Arabidopsis thaliana: one gene and its partners. The protein of the gene in region 1 purifies or fractionates together with the protein of each later gene. This does not show direct contact. Each region holds a gene or a part of one and is shown in the gene's direction. Other genes may lie near its edges.

What was found.
Region 2: the proteins of mtLPD1 (region 1) and IAR4 purify together in Arabidopsis thaliana (affinity purification with mass spectrometry, with the first as the bait; one large-scale study listed by BioGRID). This does not show direct contact.
Region 3: the proteins of mtLPD1 (region 1) and ALAAT2 fractionate together in Arabidopsis thaliana (co-fractionation; one large-scale study listed by BioGRID). This does not show direct contact.
Region 4: the proteins of mtLPD1 (region 1) and LTA3 purify together in Arabidopsis thaliana (affinity purification with mass spectrometry, with the first as the bait; one large-scale study listed by BioGRID). This does not show direct contact.

Annotation. Positions count from the first base shown.
Region 1 is NC_003070.9:17,716,356-17,721,380, reverse strand, and holds mtLPD1 (mitochondrial lipoamide dehydrogenase 1), read left to right. Parts: upstream 1-1,881; 5' UTR 1,882-2,239; coding exon 2,240-2,512; intron 2,513-2,698; coding exon 2,699-3,949; 3' UTR 3,950-3,960; exon of another isoform or gene 3,961-4,060; 3' UTR 4,061-4,488; downstream 4,489-5,025. Other genes in the region: AT1G48040 (Protein phosphatase 2C family protein), read left to right, coding at 337-1,317; PMEI1 (pectin methylesterase inhibitor 1), read left to right, coding at 4,617-5,025. UniProt on the Arabidopsis thaliana protein: Lipoamide dehydrogenase is a component of the glycine decarboxylase (GDC) or glycine cleavage system as well as of the alpha-ketoacid dehydrogenase complexes.
Region 2 is NC_003070.9:8,559,907-8,565,094, reverse strand, and holds IAR4 (thiamine diphosphate-binding fold (THDP-binding) superfamily protein), read left to right. Parts: upstream 1-1,592; 5' UTR 1,593-1,712; coding exon 1,713-2,403; intron 2,404-2,486; coding exon 2,487-2,566; intron 2,567-2,963; coding exon 2,964-3,041; intron 3,042-3,586; coding exon 3,587-3,682; intron 3,683-3,775; coding exon 3,776-3,847; intron 3,848-3,954; coding exon 3,955-4,008; intron 4,009-4,090; coding exon 4,091-4,156; intron 4,157-4,273; coding exon 4,274-4,318; 3' UTR 4,319-4,675; downstream 4,676-5,188. Other genes in the region: SNL3 (SIN3-like 3), read left to right, coding at 1-82, 171-309, 401-553, 647-813, 907-1,009, 1,109-1,192, 1,309-1,389. UniProt on the Arabidopsis thaliana protein: The pyruvate dehydrogenase complex catalyzes the overall conversion of pyruvate to acetyl-CoA and CO(2).
Region 3 is NC_003070.9:27,231,800-27,237,310, forward strand, and holds ALAAT2 (alanine aminotransferase 2), read left to right. Parts: upstream 1-1,675; 5' UTR 1,676-1,837; coding exon 1,838-2,050; intron 2,051-2,313; coding exon 2,314-2,364; intron 2,365-2,467; coding exon 2,468-2,518; intron 2,519-2,635; coding exon 2,636-2,701; intron 2,702-2,779; coding exon 2,780-2,841; intron 2,842-2,930; coding exon 2,931-3,009; intron 3,010-3,099; coding exon 3,100-3,243; intron 3,244-3,298; coding exon 3,299-3,409; intron 3,410-3,479; coding exon 3,480-3,617; intron 3,618-3,690; coding exon 3,691-3,886; intron 3,887-3,965; coding exon 3,966-4,120; intron 4,121-4,205; coding exon 4,206-4,280; intron 4,281-4,364; coding exon 4,365-4,568; intron 4,569-4,655; coding exon 4,656-4,772; 3' UTR 4,773-4,990; downstream 4,991-5,511. Other genes in the region: PUM23 (pumilio 23), read right to left, coding at 68-431, 528-781; AT1G72340 (NagB/RpiA/CoA transferase-like superfamily protein), read left to right, coding at 5,018-5,503.
Region 4 is NC_003074.8:19,358,445-19,366,225, forward strand, and holds the start of LTA3 (Dihydrolipoamide acetyltransferase, long form protein), read left to right. Parts: upstream 1-1,761; 5' UTR 1,762-1,872; coding exon 1,873-1,967; intron 1,968-2,350; coding exon 2,351-2,407; intron 2,408-2,564; coding exon 2,565-2,619; intron 2,620-2,700; coding exon 2,701-2,734; intron 2,735-2,883; coding exon 2,884-3,161; intron 3,162-3,255; coding exon 3,256-3,300; intron 3,301-3,468; coding exon 3,469-3,542; intron 3,543-3,681; coding exon 3,682-3,751; intron 3,752-4,165; coding exon 4,166-4,357; intron 4,358-4,453; coding exon 4,454-4,498; intron 4,499-4,604; coding exon 4,605-4,678; intron 4,679-4,985; coding exon 4,986-5,055; intron 5,056-5,310; coding exon 5,311-5,700; intron 5,701-5,783; coding exon 5,784-5,844; intron 5,845-5,917; coding exon 5,918-5,962; intron 5,963-6,047; coding exon 6,048-6,131; intron 6,132-6,514; coding exon 6,515-6,591; intron 6,592-6,661; coding exon 6,662-6,724; intron 6,725-6,862; coding exon 6,863-6,933; intron 6,934-7,031; and 8 more.

The DNA of each region.
Region 1 (5,025 bases):
GAGATTAGACCGTTGCTTGAAATTCTGATAATGATCCGATTCTGCATCAGGGCTTATATTAGTTTTGGGTTTCTTTTTGTTCTCTATTGCATAATAATGTTGAATCCTACATACCCTCTTCGATTAGGTTCGTGTAGACAATGGAAAATGATAAGATTAGTGTTGTGCTTTGGAAAGTTTATACCTTTGCATGAAGAATTAGTTTAGGTGTTCATGAATCAATTTTACATTGTTAGCGGAACGACTCTGATGCTCTGTTCTGGCTGTTCTGTTTCTTTAATTGTGCCAAGTTCAGGAATCTTAAACAAACCTTCTTATGTACATTTGTTGTAACAGGGCATGAGTTGTGTAACTACTACCATTGGAGAATCCGCCAGTGACTTTATCCCAACTATACGTTCAGGGAGCTTTGCTGACATTCGAAGTCGAGAAACCATGGAGGATGAACACATTTGCATAGATGATTTGTCAGCTCACCTTGGATCCTACAACTTCTCGGTACCAAGTGCTTTTTATGGTGTGTTTGATGGTCATGGTGGGCCTGAGGCAGCAATTTTCATGAAGGAGAACTTGACTAGATTGTTTTTCCAAGATGCTGTGTTTCCAGAGATGCCCTCCATTGTGGACGCGTTTTTCTTAGAAGAACTGGAGAATTCTCACCGAAAGGCTTTTGCTTTGGCTGATCTTGCCATGGCTGATGAAACCATTGTCAGTGGTTCATGCGGGACAACCGCTTTGACCGCTCTCATAATCGGACGACATCTTCTTGTTGCTAATGCTGGAGATTGTCGTGCAGTGCTATGTAGGAGAGGAGTGGCTGTTGATATGTCTTTCGATCACAGATCAACATATGAGCCAGAAAGAAGGCGGATTGAAGATTTAGGAGGATACTTTGAGGATGGATACCTCAACGGAGTCCTAGCTGTCACGCGTGCCATTGGAGATTGGGAACTGAAGAATCCTTTCACTGACTCCTCTTCACCACTGATTTCAGACCCAGAGATTGGACAGATCATTCTAACAGAGGACGACGAGTTCTTGATTTTGGCATGTGATGGTATATGGGATGTGTTGTCAAGCCAGAATGCAGTGAGTAATGTAAGGCAAGGATTGAGGAGGCATGGTGACCCGAGACAATGTGCGATGGAACTAGGAAAAGAAGCAGCGAGGCTTCAGTCATCAGATAATATGACGGTTATAGTGATCTGCTTCTCCTCAGTTCCGTCTTCACCTAAACAACCGCAAAGAAGAAGATTAAGATTCTGTGTTTCTGACGAAGCCCGAGCTCGGTTACAAGCAATGCTTGCAGGCGAGTGAAAGCAGTGTTTTTGGCAGTATGTACAAACAACAGGGATCGGGTGTTACCGATCAAACCATTATTTCTCTAATTTGAGATTCGATTCGATGAGATAAAATAAGAGACGTAGAGAGTGATAGAGAGTTAAGGTCTTGTTTGTAATGTGGTTTCTCATTTTTGATTGATCTGTTTTTTTGGTTTGTTTCAGAGAGAGATAGAGAGAAAAACCAGCCTGAAGTTTTGGTAGGATTATTGAAACTGATTAAGAGGATTTCATTTTTGTTCTTGAGGATTAGTGATGTTGTACCCATTATTGATTGTTTTAAGGAATTTTAATTTTAACTATTTTGAATCTAGATTTTGGAGGTTGGTTTAAGAATCTCTCTCCCATATATGTGGAATTCAGAGAGTTTCTTTCTGACTGTGAAAGGTTTTGGAGGTTTATCTCAAAAGCCTCAAATCCTGTCCTTACTTGCTTCTCATCATCTCTATCTTTATCTCTTTATCTTCTTCTCCTCCAACAATCTTCATGTCCATATATTTCTGATGAGTATATTTTTTGATAATTTTTACAATACAGTATTTTTCATTACATATACATAAATATTTTTTGGTGTATTTCTTTACATATGAATTAGAAGTCTAGAACTTATAAAAGTAATTCAAATGTTGACAAGAAAATAATAATAAATCAAGTGTGCATTAAGGTAACTTTGTAATCAATTTCAAATATTTAGTGTACATAATTGAGATTAGAAATTCAAGTATTCATTCATATAAATGATTTATTTACTTATCTATATTTTTGGTCAATTAAGGAAATATTAAAATATTTGTGATTAAAAAGAGAAAAAGGGTTCTAAGAGAGCCTCTCCTCTTTACATTTGCCGGCTCTGTTCATCTCTACAAGGAGCCAAGTCTCTCTTTCTCTCTAAAACAACAATGGCGATGGCGAGTTTAGCTAGGAGGAAGGCGTATTTTCTCACCAGAAACTTATCAAACTCTCCCACTGACGCTCTCAGATTCTCCTTTTCCCTCTCCCGTGGCTTCGCCTCATCAGGATCTGATGAAAACGACGTCGTCATCATCGGCGGCGGTCCCGGTGGTTACGTAGCCGCGATCAAAGCCTCTCAGCTTGGTCTCAAAACCACTTGTATCGAGAAACGCGGCGCTCTCGGTGGTACTTGTCTCAACGTCGGTTGCATTCCTTCCAAGGTCAAATTTCGAATCATCTCTCGTTTCTTCAATCAATTTGTTGATCATAGTTGACGATTTTGATCTGTTCCTTTTGTGGATGATTCTTTTGAGAGTTAATTACTGTCTTTTGTGATGATTATCATTTGCTTAAGCACAGTTATTCCATAATTACTAAATTCTTGGTTGTGTTTATTGATGTATTAGGCTCTGCTTCACTCTTCACATATGTACCATGAGGCGAAGCATTCCTTCGCTAACCATGGTATTAAGGTCTCTTCTGTTGAGGTAGATCTTCCTGCTATGTTGGCTCAGAAAGATAATGCGGTTAAGAACCTCACTCGTGGTATTGAGGGTTTGTTCAAGAAAAATAAGGTGACTTATGTCAAAGGATATGGTAAGTTTATTTCCCCAAATGAAGTCTCGGTGGAGACTATTGATGGAGGAAACACTATTGTGAAAGGTAAACATATCATTGTTGCTACTGGCTCGGATGTTAAGTCCTTGCCTGGTATTACGATTGATGAAAAGAAGATTGTTTCGTCGACTGGAGCGTTGTCTCTATCGGAAGTTCCGAAGAAATTGATTGTTATTGGTGCGGGGTATATTGGGCTTGAGATGGGTTCTGTTTGGGGTAGGCTTGGATCTGAGGTTACGGTTGTTGAGTTTGCTGGAGATATTGTTCCTTCGATGGATGGTGAAATTCGTAAGCAGTTTCAACGTTCTCTTGAGAAGCAGAAGATGAAGTTCATGCTCAAGACTAAAGTTGTTTCTGTGGATTCCTCCTCTGATGGTGTGAAGCTTACAGTGGAACCGGCAGAAGGAGGAGAGCAGTCTATTCTGGAAGCTGATGTGGTACTTGTCTCAGCGGGAAGAACACCGTTCACTTCTGGACTTGATCTGGAGAAAATCGGAGTGGAAACTGACAAAGCCGGGAGGATTCTGGTGAATGATAGATTCTTGAGTAATGTCCCAGGCGTGTATGCTATTGGAGATGTGATTCCAGGACCAATGCTTGCTCACAAAGCCGAAGAAGACGGTGTTGCTTGTGTGGAGTTCATAGCAGGCAAACACGGTCATGTTGATTATGACAAGGTTCCTGGTGTTGTTTACACTCATCCTGAGGTTGCTTCGGTTGGTAAAACCGAAGAACAGCTGAAGAAAGAAGGTGTGAGTTACCGGGTTGGGAAATTCCCGTTTATGGCGAATAGCAGAGCTAAGGCTATTGATAATGCAGAAGGATTGGTTAAGATTCTGGCCGATAAGGAGACTGATAAGATCTTGGGCGTTCACATTATGGCGCCAAACGCTGGAGAGCTGATTCATGAGGCTGTTCTTGCGATTAACTACGATGCATCAAGTGAAGACATTGCTCGAGTCTGCCATGCTCATCCCACTATGAGCGAGGCTCTTAAGGAAGCTGCCATGGCCACCTATGACAAGCCTATTCACATCTAAAAGGGAACAAGGTATGTCACACTTTGGTCTGATTTGGTTTTGTTCGGTTTTGGTTTAGATTTTTGATTTGCGGTTTTGATTTCTTATGTATCTAATCACATCCCACACTAGGAAGACCTTAAAGGAGTGAGCCACCTATGACAAGCCAAATCGATATCTTAACCTGGTTGGATTTTGGTTCGGTTTTCTGTGGTTTAGCCTTCAATTTGTCCTTTATACTGTGTTTTTATTCGTTAATGTTCAGATACGTGTTAAGCCTGATCTTTAATAAAATATTCAACATTCACTCAACACTTTTTATTGCTTCCGGCTTGCTTTCTAGTTTTTGGTTTACACTAAACCCAAAAATTGATTAGTCAGTTCATACGTTAATAATTAGGGGATATACATTATGCATTCACTAAGAGACCAAAATTAATTCAATTAGCTCCATGATTAGATAAGTACATACAATTTGATGTTATCATCTAATGATAACTGTATACTATATTTGCAATTCTTCTAACAATGGTAAAAACTTTTTTCATCGTTCATGTCAACTTCTATTCTTGATTCTGTTTTTGACTAATGCGTTGTACGTAAATTACTCTAATATAAATACTCATTGCTTTGAATATTATTTTCTACCACAAACTTGGAAAAACTAAAATTACTAGAGAAAACAAGAATGGCTGCGAATCTAAGGAACAATGCGTTCTTGTCTTCTCTCATGTTTCTTCTCTTGATCGGTTCATCATACGCAATCACAAGTTCAGAAATGAGCACAATCTGTGACAAAACCTTAAATCCATCTTTCTGTCTTAAGTTCCTCAATACGAAATTCGCATCGCCTAATCTTCAAGCCTTGGCAAAAACCACACTTGATTCTACACAAGCGAGAGCTACACAAACGTTAAAGAAACTCCAATCTATTATCGATGGAGGAGTCGACCCTCGATCTAAGTTAGCTTACAGGTCATGCGTAGATGAATACGAGAGCGCGATTGGAAACCTCGAGGAAGCTTTTGAGCATTTAGCTTCAGGAGATGGTATGGGGATGAACATGAAAGTTTCTGCTGCATTGGATGGAGCTGATA
Region 2 (5,188 bases), 9.2 Mb from region 1:
TATCAGCAAAAGTTAACTCATCATCCCCGGAAGGAAAGTGGAGGACCTCAAATACCAAAAATCCTACTGATTCCTATGCTAGGTGAAATTTGCTTTTTATTGCAGAGATTGTGTGTGTTTCTGGGATTCATATGTGCTCCATACTTATAACTTTAATTAATGTGGAACAGATTCATGACTGCACTCTACAACTTACTTGATGGTACATCTGATAATGCCAAGTTTGAAGATGACTGCCGAGCGATAATCGGGACTCAGTCTTATATTCTCTTCACATTGGACAAACTGATCCATAAATTCATCAAGCATGTGAGTATTTTTGCTCTTTGATGTTTTCTCTATGTATTCACCTCTCTATCTTTACTTGCTTTTTACTAACATACGTGTGGTCATTCTTCAGCTACAAGTAGTAGTAGCTGATGAGATGGACAACAAGCTTCTTCAGCTTTATTTTTATGAGAAATCCAGAAGGCCTGAAACGATTTTTGATGCTGTGTATTACGATAATACCCGTGTCCTCCTCCCTGATGAGAATATTTACCGTATTGAATGTGTAAGTTTTTGCTGCATCTTACATTAGCTACTTATATTCTGTCGATGCACTGCTGATCATGCTTTTGGACTCCAAAACCTCATGTGTATGCAGAGATTATCAACCCCAGCGAAACTCTCTATTCAGCTTATGTGCAACGGTCTTGATAAGCCCGATGTGACATCTGTATCCATTGACCCGACCTTTGCAGCTTATCTCCACAATGACTTCCTCTCCATACAACCAAATGCAAGGGAGGATCGCAGAATCTATTTAAATAGGTAAATGTAAAACATGAACAAATGACTGTCCCTTGATCTCTGAAACCTAGTGGGTCACTCATCAAAGCCAATGCCATTTTTCGTTTTCTCCAGGAACAAGCGCAAAGTTTGTCGTGAAGATGAACAGTTATACAGCACAGATGAAGTTAAGATCAAAAATGGTTTGGAGTGTAAGATAGCTTGCGGTTCTTCAAAGGTAACACTTTTATCTTCTTCCCTATATCACGCTTACCGCTTATGAGTATATCCATGAGAGACCAGCACTTGAAAGCACGTTCTTGAAAATCTCTTGCAGGTCTCCTATGTACTAGAAACAGAAGATTTGTTGGTGCGAGTTAAAAAGAGAAGAAAAACTTTGTGCCACAATCAGGATTCTTGGGTAAGGCAAATGAGGTTACAATATTACAAAAATAACTTCTTGTGACCAGCCTGTAACAATCTGGAAGAAGGATACCAAATCAACTCAACTTGTTCATTCACTCTCCAACTTAACAGAGACAAAACAAAAACAAAAGTGGCAATTCTCCATTGTTGACTTCACCGGATAGAGCCAAACTGCATTCTCTATCTTCATAAGAAGAAGAAGCAACAAAGGATTTGGCTTTTTGTTGTCTGTGACTGAAAAAGAAAACAATCACTCACAAAAATGATGTTACATATGTAAAGTTTGTCTTTATTCACTCTCTTGTTGTAAAGTTTTGTATGTTGTTGTAACATTTATCAAAAATTTCATTTTGTTATGGTATGTTATATAGAAATGAGTCAAATGACCATAAAAGGTTTGACCTTTTCCATAAACGACGCTTCGCCCTCTCCTAACTCTTTCCCTCACTTTAAAAAGATTCGATTTTTGACTGCAAAAAAGAGAATTTCTAAAAGCAAATCGGAGAGCTTCGGCGATGGCGTTATCACGACTTTCTTCACGATCCAACACTTTCCTAAAGCCGGCGATTACCGCCTTGCCCTCCTCCATCCGCCGTCATGTTTCCACAGACTCATCACCGATCACAATCGAAACCGCCGTCCCTTTCACATCGCATCTATGTGAATCACCGTCACGCTCCGTCGAGACTTCATCGGAGGAGATCTTAGCCTTTTTCCGTGACATGGCTCGGATGAGGAGGATGGAGATCGCAGCAGATTCTCTTTACAAGGCGAAGCTGATCCGTGGGTTCTGTCATTTGTACGATGGTCAAGAGGCTTTAGCGGTGGGAATGGAAGCGGCGATTACCAAAAAAGATGCGATTATCACATCGTATCGTGATCACTGTACTTTCATTGGTCGTGGTGGGAAGCTTGTTGATGCTTTCTCTGAGCTTATGGGGAGAAAAACTGGTTGTTCTCATGGTAAAGGAGGATCTATGCATTTCTATAAGAAAGATGCTTCCTTTTATGGTGGACATGGGATTGTTGGTGCTCAGATTCCATTGGGATGTGGTTTGGCTTTTGCTCAGAAGTATAATAAGGATGAGGCTGTGACTTTTGCTTTGTATGGTGATGGTGCTGCGAATCAGGGACAGTTGTTTGAGGCCTTGAACATTTCGGCTTTGTGGGATTTGCCTGCGATTCTTGTTTGCGAGAATAACCATTGTGAGTTTATTTTTTGGTTAATTGTAATTTGTTTGGTGGAATTGTTGAGACTTTTGTGTTGATTTGGATTGTTTGATGTTTAGATGGAATGGGAACGGCTACATGGAGGTCGGCTAAGTCTCCGGCTTATTTCAAGCGTGGAGATTATGTTCCTGGCTTGAAGGTGAGACTGAGTTGTCTTTTGGCATGATCTTGAGCTTTACAATGCTTTTGCTTTGATGAGACTGAGTTGTCTATAGCACGCTTTTAGTTGATACAGGGTTTCCTTGTGTGTTTTAGACCACTGGGTCGACTATGGAACAGCTAGGTAGTGAGGATAGGGTTTTAGACACAAATTGAATGAGAAAGGACAAACCTTCACAGTTGTGTGTTCGGATCAAGTGTAACTTTGTGAGAACTACCAAAAGGAATTGTCTCCAAAGTCTCTATCTTTGTTGTTTTACAGAAGTTGCTTCAGTTTTTTATTACTTTACCCAATAGAATTGTATCCGTTGTTTTTCTGATTGGTGAGAGTGTGAACTTAAAGCTAACGAATGATTATCTTTTGCTTTGTTTTCTAGGTGGATGGTATGGATGCACTGGCTGTGAAACAGGCGTGCAAGTTTGCCAAGGAGCATGCTCTCAAGAATGGTCCTATTGTAAGTATTACAGCTGCTCCTGTTGGTTTTATGAAATCGATACCTAATCAATATGACTCTTAGCATTTTATGCAAATTAAGAATTCGTAGAATCATTTATTACTTGCATGTGTGATGCTACTTTGGTTGGGGAGAATGGTTAGCTGGTAACTTCTACCTAGCCTAGATTTGGATTGAACGAGGTTTATTTGGAGAAAACAAGACTTCTTAAGTACCTATGTTGTTAATTTGTTTGCTGTTTCCGGGAGAGTGTGACAGGCGTGATTGACAAGCTCCTAGGATTTCTATTAAAAGTACTAGATAAGTAGATATCACTAATATCTCTTGGAGTTTTTGGTGTGTACCTACTTATGAAGTGAAATTATACCATGTTGACTTCAGCTTCCAACCAATTTTCCTTTTTTGCATTTTGTCACCAACACAAATGGGACAAGCATTTTGGATCTTGTGAATTCAATCACATAGCGTTGACATTTATCGTATTTTTATAATCCATTCTCTACCTAGTGATTATGACCAACATACCATTGCCATTATTTGCGCAGATCCTTGAGATGGACACTTACAGATACCACGGTCACTCTATGTCTGACCCAGGAAGCACTTACCGTACTCGTGATGAAATCTCTGGCGTGAGACAGGTTAGTTCTTTGTTCATTTGTAAGACTACTGCTCCAACCATATGCAATTTGAAACTTTTTAATCTGTAAAGTTTTCATCGGTGTTACCTTTAGGTGCGTGATCCAATTGAAAGGGTGCGAAAGTTGCTCTTAACTCATGACATAGCTACCGAAAAAGAGCTTAAGGTACCCTGTTCACCACCTTCCCATTCCAGACAAAAAGCTTGAAAAAAATTATACATACAACCATCAAACTTGACTATGGAAATGACAAAATTCTTTTGACATTAAAGGACATGGAGAAAGAGATAAGGAAAGAAGTAGATGACGCCGTAGCTCAGGCCAAGGTAATAATCTTAATTGTTTCTATCTTTGTCCTTGTTATTTATCAAAACACGAACTAATTCCTTGCTGTTTAACTTGTTTCAGGAGAGCCCGATACCAGATGCATCTGAGCTATTCACAAACATGTACGTGAAAGACTGCGGAGTTGAGGTACTATCACATCCCACTCTTTCACATCTATTTATTTCTTTTGTAACCCTGTGGCGTTGGTAGTTGTTGGCATATGAATCTAGAGATTTACGCATTTTCCTCCATTGAAATTTGCAGTCGTTTGGAGCAGACAGAAAAGAACTCAAAGTAACACTTCCATAGAATCTTGCTTCCCAAGGAGATGATTGGTTCAATAAATCAGAAGGCAAGGCTACACAAATCTTTTTAACTTGCTACCAAAAATATTTCTGGTTTTTTTTTTTTGTATTTTCATTTCAAGTGTAAAGCCATTGCTTCACCAGTTTGCCAACTTTTGTTTCCCACACTTCAATTTGACACCAAGCAAAAGAAGCTTCGGATATCACTCTGTGAGATAAAGTTAGAGAAATAAGCAGAGAGTAGTTAAGAGAAAGATCATCAGCTTCTTTGTCTCAAGTAGAAAAATGTCGACATGTGATTACAAAATCATCAAGACCCCGTGTTAAATTCGTTATCTAATATATATAAAAATAAAAAGGCAAAACCAACTTCTGCGTCGGTACCAATAAAACCACATGAATAGTTATGTCTCCACCACCTAACTTGAATAATCTTTGCTTCTACTCTACAAGTCCCTTTCTCATCATCCCCCACATCAACACCAAATCTTATTGAATAGGTAAACTCTATGACGCCACTCACTCTCTTTCTTAATACTTAAATTAGATTAGATTTCTTGCAACAACTAATCACTACAAAAGAACATTGATGATTGATTGCTTTTTCCTTTGTTAACCAAGCATTTGGTTCTCTCTGTAAGCCAATAGAAACCAAACAAACCTTTGCTTAGTTTTTTACTCGGTAAATAATTAGTTTGACAAGTAACAAGTTTATATATTATATAGTGTTCAGTGTTTTAACTTATTCAAGAATATTCTCTCTATATCATCAAATCAAATATGTTCAACGGAATCTTCATCGTGTTCTCTTCTCATATCCGAGAAAAAGTCCTTAAGAAAAACTCGAGAAAGTGATACATGAATGGTATTATTG
Region 3 (5,511 bases), 9.5 Mb from region 1:
AGACTAGAAGCAATAATCTGGATACCTTAATATGATTGTCAAAGCCAGTAAAAATTGTATAAAGTACCTTGCATATAGAATGCAAAGCCTCCTCAATAACAGAATAGGCGTCTGGATTTTCTAGATGTGTGGCCAAGGATTTGAGAGCAGACTCTGCGACATGAGAACCAGATCTATCCATTGCAATGGCTGGGAACACACTAGCAGAATTTCGTATGAAACTGCAGAGTTGGTCAAGTTCACATCCCTCAAGTAGAGTTTGCAAGACATGACTTATGATATAGTCTGTAGCAATTTCATACTCCCTCCCTCTTGTTTCTTCAAGGGCATTTCCACATATTACTGAACGTTCCTCTAATTCAACTTCATTACTATCAAAGAGATTGGCAATCTCAGAGAAATACTTTGAAGTCTCTGGATCAATCTCTTTCCTGAAAAAGATACACCCAAATCACTACCACTTCTCACAACAACAAAATTTCGACTATAAATTAGAGCAAAGGCCCTTGGTTAAAAATCTCCTTTACCTGACAAATTGATTCTGATGTTCGAATTCGGAGTGTTTCTTTGATGCTGGCTTTACATTGGGGGCACCACCGGATTGGTTCTTCTTGCTGCTATCTACATCAAATCCACGGTTACCCTTATGGTCCTTCCTACGCATTCCCTTATTCCTTTCACTGTGATTGTTACTAGACTTTCCTCGTTCACCCATCAAGCTATCTTCCTCAATGGTCCTGTGCCTCCTAGATGGCAATGATTTAGAACCAACAGAAACCATGAAAATTCCTAGCCCCAACTATGTTAAACCCTACAAAATTTACACACAAAAAAACTCAGCTTCGAAGAACTATTAGTCCCAAATTACACAATATAACAAAAAAGGGAAAGGTTCAATTTTTTCTCCAAATTTACAGACCCCAAAAATTAGGGTTTCTACCTCTACTTCAAAACGATACCATAACTGGGTTGAATAACCTAAAACATAACAATAAATTCCGAGTCCCAATTCTAAGACTTTACACTAATCCATGTGAAGCTTGTACAAAAGAACAGAAACAATAAGGTGTATCACAAACCTTTGAGGATGCAAAAACACAGTTGACGTTAGAGGAGAAACGAACAAGCGTGAGCTCAGACTAAGAACGCGGCGCAGAGACAAAACGACGTCGTCTCCGAAACTCTTGGTATACGTTGGATCAAAATCTTCGATGTTTTGACGTTGTACAAATTTTCTAATTCCTAGGGTTTTATTCTCGTCCAACCTAATACGATATCGTTTTGTTGACGTGGATATAAACAAATAATGGGCTTTAAATCACGATTTTACCGACCTTTTTAGGGCCCAATTATGTAGCCCAAAAAAAACCTCATCGTTAGCAATGTGCTGCTACATGTTGTTGTGATTTATTTAAATTTAGAGATTTCTAAAAATTTATAACTTTCAAATTAGCTGTAGGTTTTATAAGTATCTATTTATCCCCAAATTAGATTACGACTGTGATTGGATTATTCAATTTTGGTCCTTTTGGATAATTAAGTCAACGGAAGATAGACTTCAGACATCTTTTTTTGATAAAAGACATGTCTTTTTTTGGGATTAGTCGTGTGTTTAACAGATAAATCAACAAAATTAGCCGCCTAAAAAAAACCCCTACAAATATCTTCATCAATTAGATTTTCGAAAAGAAAAAACGAAAAAGCAATTTCTGAGCGTGGAGGACAAGGCAAAATTCGGTGTGCAAGGCACTGGATATTGGGACCCTTGTTTCCTCGTGAGAGAATTTTCAATCCTAGGGCTTAAAGAGCACGTTCCTAGTATAAAGCTGATTCACAGATGCGGAGATTCTTGATTAACCAAGCTAAAGGTCTCGTCGACCATTCTCGTCGTCAACATCACCACAAAAGTCCAAGCTTTCTCTCTCCTCAACCTCGTCCCCTTGCTTCTTCTCCTCCTGCTCTGTCTCGTTTCTTCTCTTCTACTTCGGAGATGTCTGCTTCTGATTCCACTTCTTCTCTTCCCGTTACTCTTGACTCCATCAATCCCAAGGTCGGTTTCTAATTCTCTAGCTGGTTTATTGCGTTTTTGAATTGTGGGTTTCAGGGTTGATCTGGATTTGTTTCTAATTTAGTAAAAAAGTTTCAATTTTTTACTGTGGTTGTCTGATTTAACGCCAAAGGTTTATCCTTTGCTTCTCGTTGTGATTCCCAACGATGAAATCGACAAGCTTTGCATAACTTCTTTGTACTTTATATTACAGAGAAGTTGGTTTTATTGTTAACTAAGAGTTTTTTTTCTTTTCCGGGGAACAGGTTCTGAAATGTGAGTATGCTGTTCGAGGAGAAATTGTCAACATTGCTCAGGTCAGAGATGCATGTGCTTTGTCTTGTAAAACCAAGAACAAAATCTGTAAAATTGTTTTTAATGCTAATTGATTTTTGTTTGCTTTTTGCTTCCATCTTACAGAAGTTACAAGAAGACTTGAAGACTAATAAGGATGCTTATCCCTTTGATGAGGTAAAATCTCTTTCTTTATCGGCAGTTTTGACGGATTTATGATTAGTTTAGTGTTGATGTTACCTGTTCTCAAACTCTTTGTGCAAGGAACTTAGAATTCTTCATTACTTTTGGCAGATAATCTATTGCAACATTGGGAATCCTCAATCTCTTGGTCAGCTGCCTATAAAGTTCTTCCGTGAGGTAAGTGAATGTTTTTGGTACTAGTTTGGTTGTCATATCAGCCACAGAGATATAACGTCTATCATCTATATGCCTCAGGTTCTCGCATTGTGTGACCACGCAAGTCTTTTGGATGAGTCTGAAACCCATGGTTTGTTCAGGTGAGGTTTTCCTTGCTATATTTCAGCTTTAGGACATGTATGCTCACGGTTTAAGATTGCTTAACATTTGATTTCTACTCTGCTATCAGTACCGATTCAATTGACCGAGCATGGAGGATTTTGGACCATATTCCCGGAAGAGCAACTGGGGCTTACAGTCATAGCCAGGTTTGTTATTAGAGTCTAGTTAAAAGTCCTAAACCCTTTCTTGAGATGGTTCTTATGTTGCTGAATGTTTCATTTTTTGTTCTGCCTCAGGGTATCAAGGGTTTACGTGATGTAATTGCAGCTGGAATCGAAGCACGTGATGGTTTCCCTGCTGATCCAAATGATATTTTCTTGACTGATGGTGCAAGTCCAGCGGTAACAATCAAAACGAAAACGTTATCTCATAGAGTTAGAGTAAGTTCTTTTAAAGGATTCATGCTAAGTGTTTTTGGTGTTTTTTACTCTATAGGTTCACATGATGATGCAACTTCTCTTGAGCTCAGAGAAAGATGGTATTCTTTCCCCGATTCCTCAGTATCCATTGTACTCGGCTTCAATTGCCCTTCATGGTGGATCTTTGGTATGTTCATATAATCATCATGGAGTAATGTTGTTTTTTGGTACAAGTTTTTGAAATTTGTACTTCTTAGGTTCCGTACTATCTTGATGAAGCAACAGGATGGGGACTGGAAATATCTGACCTTAAGAAGCAACTAGAGGAAGCTAGGTCCAAGGGCATCTCTGTAAGGGCCTTGGTTGTCATAAACCCCGGTAACCCAACTGGGCAGGTACAAACAGATTTTCAAGACTAGCCTAACAAAATGTAACATTCTTCTAATCTTGCGTTCTTATTCTGGTTAGGTTCTTGCGGAAGAAAACCAGCGTGACATTGTTAATTTCTGCAAGCAAGAGGGTTTGGTTCTTTTAGCTGATGAAGTCTACCAAGAAAATGTTTACGTCCCTGACAAAAAGTTCCATTCTTTCAAGAAAGTGGCTCGGTCTTTGGGCTATGGAGAAAAAGATATCTCGTTAGTCTCGTTCCAATCAGTCTCCAAAGGTAAAAGAACAACTTTTACTGTCCAATGCTTGTCATCTAAAAAATGGGGTTTTTGTTTTTAATATTCTTCTGTTGATAGGATATTATGGAGAATGTGGAAAAAGAGGAGGTTACATGGAGGTTACTGGATTCACTTCTGATGTAAGAGAACAGATATACAAAATGGCTTCTGTGAATCTTTGTTCTAACATCTCTGGTCAAATTCTTGCTAGCCTTGTCATGAGCCCACCCAAGGTAACACCCTAGTTCTCTCTAATCGGTTTTCGCTAAGTTCTTGCAACAGATTATGACTAAAAAGTCTAATATTGTATTTGATCAGCCTGGTGATGACTCATATGACTCATACATGGCAGAAAGAGATGGAATTCTCTCATCCATGGCTAAACGTGCAAAGGTTAGTCGAAGATTACAATACCCTCTAACGACATTTTTCAGTCTCTTTGTATATAATGTCACAAGCTTGAAAATGAACTTGCAGACTTTGGAAGACGCTCTCAACAGTTTAGAAGGTGTTACATGTAACAGAGCCGAAGGAGCAATGTATCTCTTCCCGCGAATTAACCTTCCTCAAAAGGCTATCGAAGCTGCTGAGGCTGAAAAAACTGCACCAGATGCGTTCTACTGCAAACGCCTTCTCAATGCTACTGGTGTAGTTGTAGTCCCTGGTTCTGGCTTTGGACAGGTAAAATATAACCAAATCTTCATAACTTTAAATGTCTTACAAAAGGATCGAACTTGAATAATGGGTTTTGGATTCATTGTGGTTTAGGTTCCTGGAACATGGCACTTTAGATGCACAATACTTCCACAAGAAGACAAGATTCCAGCGATAGTGAATCGTCTGACAGAGTTCCACAAGAGCTTCATGGACGAGTTCCGCAACTAAAAGGACCTGACCATGAAGATGAACTTAAAGACCCTTTTGAAGAAAAGTGTGATCAGTTTGAGTTATTAAAAAAAAGAAAACTTGTGTTTTGAATTTGATCAGGCAATTGTGATCAGCTAATTTAATTTTAGAATATTTTGTACTTCCATTCCATGGCATGTCATATGAAGATATGAAAATTAGTAAATTTATTGGGCTTATAAATGGGCCTTATATTATTAATGGGCCTTATATTTATTTTTCATATGATATTTCTGGAGAAAGCGACAGTATATTATCTTCAATTTTTCCATTTTGAAGAATTTTCTCAAGAAAAAAAAAAATCAATGTGGAGAAGATCACCGTCGTTTATTCTCGACGAGCGACGAAGCTCGAATTCACCTCCAATGGCGGATACAACACGAGGTCCTTTTCAAAACCCTGATTCCATCTCCGCTTATTACCAAACTCGCGCGGCGCATCACGGTGTCATTACAAGCGACTGGCTAGCCCAAGCTCAAGCCGCCGTTGGCGGCGTCTCAGGCGATGCCCAGCATGACTTATCCGTAACTGATCTCGGGAACGAGAAGTCGTTTAATGTAATTGAAGAGTTCAATAACTGGAGAAAACAACCGGATCTGGCTGAAGCCGTCGCGGCTATACGAGCTTTGGCTGCTGTTATTCGTGCGAGCGAAGCGAGCACCATGATGGAGCTTGAAATTGAGCTCAAAAAGGCTTCTGATACACTCAAGGTGAGAAT
Region 4 (7,781 bases), on another chromosome or scaffold:
ATACTAATCTATTTATAAAATTAATTTTTCATGTATAAATATCGATAATATGTAACATATCATAACATTTAAATTCAAAAAAAGAATGTATCATAACATTAATTTTCGGTGCTATGCACCGGGTATAATACTAGTTACAAATAAAGTATAAAAGGAATTAAACTTTTATATAGATAATTAACACAAACAAAATATTAGAGACGATTTCAAATAAATTATGAGGATATAGATGAGAAAAATACTATATAGAATAACAATAGTAAGAAATTAAAAATAAATAAATCAATTTGTACATATAAATTAGAAAGAAAAATATAGATAAATAATTAAACAATATTAATAGTATCACATAGGTCAATTAAAATTTTATATACAATAGTTAAAGAGTATTATATCTCAAAACTAAGTTTTGATACTGCGTAGAACAAATCATGTTTCAAGCAAAAATGATCAAATTCCTATGATGCTGGAAATGCTTGACGATCCACATGAGACTGGCTATGTGCATGTATGGAGAAAAACGTGTTGTTCGACAACGCGTGCATGCCTTCTTCCACCTAAGTGACGACGCATCACAAAAAGTTATCTAGTAGTGTTAATAGTTCATGTTCCATCTGCCGAAATTACACACAATATAACGTATTCGATTATTTGTTATCCAACAACTTAAACGATTCGACCAACTCACTCAACCTTTTGTCACTAGTTCCAGTCATATATTTCTTATAAATACTCGTTCACTACATCTGTACAGATCGAAAGAATCTCTTGATATATTACAACACACCCATAATTCATAAAGACTAGCTCATATACCTTTGATATATGAGATTTGATCTATATGTCGTTCTCCTTAACTAGATATCGCTAATTGGGCTTGCATTCAACAAGCAACATATATCGCTTATTACATTCGACGATACTCAGCTTCTACATCTTAAGTCTCTCTTTTTTTCTGAGCTCACCATCAAGTATAAGAACACAATTCTACCTCTTATTTGTCTACTCCCAATTTTTTGTTTTTGGTTTTTCACTATTCTGACATCTTATCGTATTATGATTAACGTTAAGAATGTCGTCTCGAAAATCACCTACCTAGCTATTGTTTCAAGATTCGACTCCCATGCGCGTCCCATCAAGAACAAACCATCCAGAAGCATCAACCTCCAACTATTAGAGAATAATGTCCCATTCGCCCCTCGCTGGTCAAATCGCTTCCATTTGATTCACATAAGTCCAACAACAACGATGATCTCTGGTGTACTACTACCAAAACTCAACCTTGAGACAGATTCTCAAAATACTATATGTTCTATTAACTATTTTAACTTGAATCAAGTTGATAATTGTAGAGAGAAATTTTTTGTTCACTTCTTATTAATTTGTAAAACATTTATTTTAAAACCCATTACCGTTAAGCTTTGATACAATGATACATGTTATTTTCTGATTAAAAATGGTTATAAACTTGAACGGTATAAGACTTTAGTGTATAGAGAACAATTTAGAGAATCTGTATTTATGTAACCGCGACCTTTCGGAAACGTAGAAGGTGGTCGCACAAACAAACCAATCAAACCCTTAATCGATGGCACTCTTTTAATGTCTAATAAACTTCGGTTCGTCACTCGACCGGACAATTAAATATGTGATTAAAAGTGTGAATTTCCGGTTCGGTAGAGATTACTGGTATTTGTTAATCCGGGCCGGACCGGGCCGTATCTGAATTATGAACACTTTCCTAATGTCATAGAATCGTTCGTGCCGTCGTCGCTGCGATCTGACCAAAATCAAAAGTGTTACGATTCGGTATCATCGTCTCTCTCATTTGTGATTTTGTCAAACCCTGCTCTCTTTTCTCCAAGTGCTCTCATGGTGCTTCCGCTCTTCCGGCGCGCTGCGATCGCCCGGACTTCCTCGCTTCTCAGAGCTCGTCTTTTCGCTCCTGCCTCCGAATTCCATTCTCGGTACGCTTATTCTCTCTATCTAGTCCCGCCTCTTTCAAAGTATTTTGATGTTGCTCTTCTTCCATGTGTGATCCTTTGCAATTCGATGACTGAACTGTTTCTTAGTTCGATTTCATTTTCCTTTTCCGCAATCATCCATTGACTTTTTTTGGAGTTCTTATTACGTATTGTATAGTGATGTTTAAGAATGCCAAATTTGGTTTTGTTGGAACAATTGAACTATCCATTTTTTCTTATCGAACTGGTAGTACGGGTTTATCTTCTCTAGTTTGTGAGATGTAATTTCCATTTTACGTCACTCGCAGTGAAGAACAAGTGTGTCCTTAAACTGGTGTGATCTCTTTACCTTTCCAATACATTTGACAATGAACTTTCTTATTCAGCTTTTCTAATGGACTATACCACTTGGACGACAAAATTAGTAGCAGTAATGGTGTGAGGTATGTGTTCCATATCACAAATTGAGGACAAGATTTATTTTTATAGAAAAAGTCAGTGTGATCGTAGGCATTCAAAGTTTAAGGTTATAATTTAGTTCGTTTCGTATGTGTTAGATTGTTAGTCTAGTTTGAGATTTTGTCTGTTCTACATTTTCAGGTCTGCCTCTATAGACTTGATTACAAGAATGGATGATAGTTCTCCAAAGCCCATTGTAAGTGAACAGCTAGTACTGTTTCTTTTCTTTTTTCACTTTCATCTATCCGTGTTTCTCACATACATTGTTTTCTTGTAGCTGCGATTTGGCGTGCAAAACTTTTCATCTACAGGTATTCATTGATTGTTATGTCATCTTATGGAATAATGATCTTCATAAATGAGTCAACCAAGCAATTCCATTATAGAATTACTAAACGAGTTGATTATGGGACTTTCATCTGATTTGAGCAACCTGTCGGCAATTGTTAAATTGTTTTAGCCATAAGACTTACCAACACAGATGTTAAGTGGGTGATAAGAATAATTAATGGAAACTTTCGCTTAACTTGTAGAAAAATAGAAATGTTAATTGATGCAGGTGCAAAAACTTCCATATCACTCTTTTCTCTGATGTTTGTGCTTCCATCATACCTTAGATACAGCGACAGGAGATGCAATCAATTATACAAGATTCTTCCATTAAATTATTATTTTCTTTGGGTTGTAGGACCCATATCACAGACGGTTCTTGCAATGCCAGCCTTGTCTCCTACTATGGTAGGAAATTTGACTTCAATCTTGTAAAGAATTTTGGCCTCCTCCAAGACATTTGGACTTCAATCATTGTTTTATGTTTGTTGGGCTTTTGCAGAGTCATGGAAATGTTGTAAAATGGATGAAGAAAGAAGGTGACAAGGTGGGTTATTTCTTATTTTTGGTTGACAAAATTTCAGTCGACTTTTATGATTTTGTCTACTAATGATCATTATACAAGAAAGACGATAAATTGATAATTTAGCTGGCAAAGAAAATATAGAATGTGGAAATTCTCAGTAACAGGTATGAATTTGGTTCTTCCTGACAGGTAGAGGTGGGTGATGTACTATGTGAGATAGAGACAGACAAAGCCACTGTAGAATTTGAGAGTCAAGAGGAAGGGTAATTTTGAAAAAGACGGTTCATGATTTTATGTTTTGATTTGTATTTTTATTTCATTATACCTTGGTAATTCAAATATCTGACTCCCTATAAGTATATGAAAATGTCAATTGGCTTACTATGAAGCATGGTTCTGCAGATTTCTGGCCAAGATTTTAGTCACTGAAGGATCAAAGGATATCCCTGTTAATGAACCGATTGCAATAATGGTAAGCACAGTGGCTGTCTTATACATTTATAGAAACCAAGTATGATCTCACAAAAGGTGATGCATGCATCAACATACGCTTATTAGGAGTTCCTGTTTGTTTATCTAGTCTGCTCTTGGCCTCTTTCACTTTCTTTCGTTTCCTGGGTTTACATTCTGGAAGACTTGACAAATCATAGAGATGTATGGTATTTCGTTGTCAATATTTATTGTGGAAAAATGTCCAAGATCCAATCTCATGCTCTCTTCTTCTAAATATTTCCGTTTGCCATACTGAGTTGTCATGTTATGTCCCCAAACATGATATATCGTAGGGTTTAGGGTGTAGCGTATATTGGTTACAGTTTTGGTCAACATCTTGCTACATAAGGTTGATGGATAAGAGTTTAATCTTATCTATTTAATTGTAACCAAGGTTGAGGAGGAAGACGACATTAAAAACGTTCCTGCTACCATAGAGGGTGGACGAGATGGTAAAGAGGAAACATCAGCTCATCAAGTGATGAAACCTGACGAAAGCACACAACAAAAAAGTTCCATTCAGCCCGATGCATCAGATCTTCCCCCACATGTCGTCTTAGAAATGCCAGCACTTTCTCCTACAATGGTATGAAATTTCATATTTTATGCTAGCTTTTTTTGGAGGAGAAGGCATTCAGCTTTCTATCCTAAGACTCTGAATTATTTGTTTATTGATGTGCAGAACCAAGGTAATATTGCCAAATGGTGGAAAAAAGAGGGTGACAAGGTTAGTTTCTGGTGACCCGATGAGTAAATTGGCATTGTAATTTCACCACAAGAAATCTGATGTTTATGCACTTGCCTGTGTTGATTCTTCTCATTTCATGAAACAGATTGAAGTGGGTGATGTCATAGGTGAGATCGAGACTGACAAAGCCACTCTGGAATTTGAAAGCCTTGAAGAGGGGTATAACTAACATCTTGTCGTCTTATTTCTTTTTCTAGGCAGTATGTTGATGTTCATTCTATATAGCATTCACTATCTGTGGATATTGCTTCTTTTCTTGTTTGGTTAAGTGAGAAGTAAATGTTAATTGCAAAAAGTAAGGTCTCTCCAAGTGTTCCCCCTTGAACTGATAGTGATTTAAAAGGTTGATTTCATGTTTCGTAGTTTTCATATGAGTATGGGCTTCCTCTACAAAAACTGATTTCCTGGATCAAATGAGTGAAGTTATATAATAGATTCTATAACTTGATGGATGACTTTTGTGTAGGTACTTAGCTAAGATTCTAATTCCTGAAGGTTCCAAGGATGTGGCGGTGGGAAAGCCGATTGCCCTAATAGTAAGTCTTTTAGTTCAAAAGTACATTGACTGAATTCTTTATGCCAGAAAACTGTATTACGACTGGTATATTTAATCCATTTGTTTTACTAGCCTGTGTGTAATGCATTTTGTGCATAAATTGGTCGACACTCTTCTAGTTCCATGCTACGTTATATATTGCCTGAAGTAAAAGTTATGCCTGCACAAAAAATCTTTGAAAATACAATTGCTTGCAGATTGGGGGATATAATAAGCTAATCGTTCTTCTCTGTAGGTTGAAGATGCTGAAAGTATTGAAGCCATCAAGTCTTCTTCCGCAGGTAGTTCTGAGGTTGATACAGTTAAAGAAGTCCCTGACAGTGTTGTAGATAAACCTACAGAGAGGAAAGCAGGCTTCACAAAGATCAGTCCTGCTGCAAAGCTATTGATTTTAGAACATGGATTGGAGGCATCATCAATTGAGGCATCGGGTCCCTATGGTACATTATTGAAATCAGACGTTGTGGCCGCAATTGCTTCTGGAAAAGCTTCTAAATCATCTGCGTCTACGAAGAAGAAGCAACCATCAAAGGAGACCCCGTCTAAATCCTCCTCCACATCGAAGCCTTCTGTGACACAGTCAGATAATAATTATGAAGATTTTCCAAATAGTCAAATTCGCAAGGTAAATTAACATATTTATTACTCTCTATGTAGAATGATGAAATATGTCCTGCTGCATTCTGTTTTACTTTCCCCACTTGGCAGATTATAGCAAAACGTTTATTGGAATCAAAACAGAAGATACCCCATTTGTATTTACAATCAGGTTGGTGACTCACAACCTTTGTATTTTCTTTGTGTATTTTATTTGCTGTTTAAGCATTTTATTTTGCCTGCAGATGTTGTATTGGATCCTCTTCTTGCATTTAGAAAAGAACTTCAAGGTTTGTAGACTGCTCTTATCACACATCCTGGTATTTATTAACAACTTGAGAGGCTCAGAGTGAACTGTACTTTCATGATCTACAGAAAACCATGGCGTTAAAGTGTCTGTCAATGACATAGTTATTAAAGCAGTGGCAGTCGCACTGAGGAATGTACGACAAGCTAATGGTGAGAAATTATTTTCTCCTCGTAAATGATTTCATTAAAAATAACTAAACTATGGTTTGTTCCCATCCCTAACTATGCGCTAGATTAAAACCTTAGTTCATCCTCTTTAAGGAAACTCGGCTTCCATGTTGGATTATTCTTGCAATGCCGTTTACCTCCGTTGAGAGTATTTAGTAAAGATGTTTTGAGATTGTAATACTGTAACATTCAATATGACTGGTAATGCATTTTAGACTCGGTTTTAGTCGTTACAAGTAGGACATTTTTTGGTGTGAGTTTGATGTAATGATTTGTGGATTGGAATCGTGTGGTTGTTTTTTCTCTTCTGCTTTCTCAAACCTTTCTTATGGTTGCTTAAAGTTCTCTTTCTCAATGTCTGGCAGCTTTCTGGGATGCTGAGAAAGGAGATATCGTTATGTGTGACAGTGTTGACATATCAATTGCAGTTGCAACTGAGAAGGTACACTTGTGTGTTTGATTTTCTGATCATTTCAACAGTTTATCCCTCATCATCTTGGCATTTTTTGCAGGGCTTAATGACTCCAATTATCAAGAATGCAGACCAGAAATCTATTTCTGCTATTTCCTTAGAGGTAATTTTATTCTCTCTGAAGTTAAACGAATATGGAAGGCTATAGAGGCACATATGTTTGATCAGTTCTTACCATATTCCATGTGTTGTTGATCGCTATAGTTATGAATTTTAATATGTCAAATGATTTTTGGATCAGGTTAAGGAGCTGGCACAAAAGGCTCGATCTGGAAAGCTTGCTCCTCATGAGTTTCAAGGAGGGACATTCAGGTATTCATCATTTTTAAGTTATTAAGCATAGTACGGAATTATCAATCATGTGTAACTTTTCCTACTTAACGAGAAAACCATACTTTATCGTTTTGCAGCATATCAAATCTAGGAATGTATCCTGTGGATAATTTCTGCGCAATCATTAACCCCCCTCAGGTAATCATAGCCTTAACGATGCACCCTGAATCACAGATTGAAGATTAAGTTTTGCTGTTTGTAATTTGTGGTGTAGAGGATTTAGTTTAATATTTATAGAGATGCAGATGTGTTTTTTTGGATAATAAACTTCAGGACTATCAATTGTCTTGCAGGCTGGGATTCTAGCAGTTGGTAGAGGAAACAAAGTGGTTGAGCCAGTTATTGGACTAGATGGTGAGCTAGTAGAATCCTTTTGGGTTTTCAACTAGGGTTGCTATTCTGATCATGGTATGACAAGTTTTCGTCATTGTTTCAGGAATTGAGAAGCCTTCTGTTGTGACAAAAATGAATGTAACGTTATCCGCTGATCATCGGATCTTTGATGGACAAGTTGGAGGTAATGGAACATTCATAAATCCCTTCGTTTCGAGTTTTATGTTATGCTGCTGCCATATTTCACTGTGTTTCTCCTTTGTTACTCATTGCTTTTTCTATGAAACCGGCTTTGTTTCAGCTTCGTTTATGTCTGAATTGCGTTCAAACTTTGAGGATGTTCGAAGACTTCTTCTGTGAGAAAGATCCAACTGTTTACCAAATGAATCTTGGATTACTACATAATAAACCTCGGACCAACCCACGTGCACATCCAGAACCAGAACTGCTGGTCTACATTGTTAACTCTGATCACATGTTTCATTTTTTTCCAT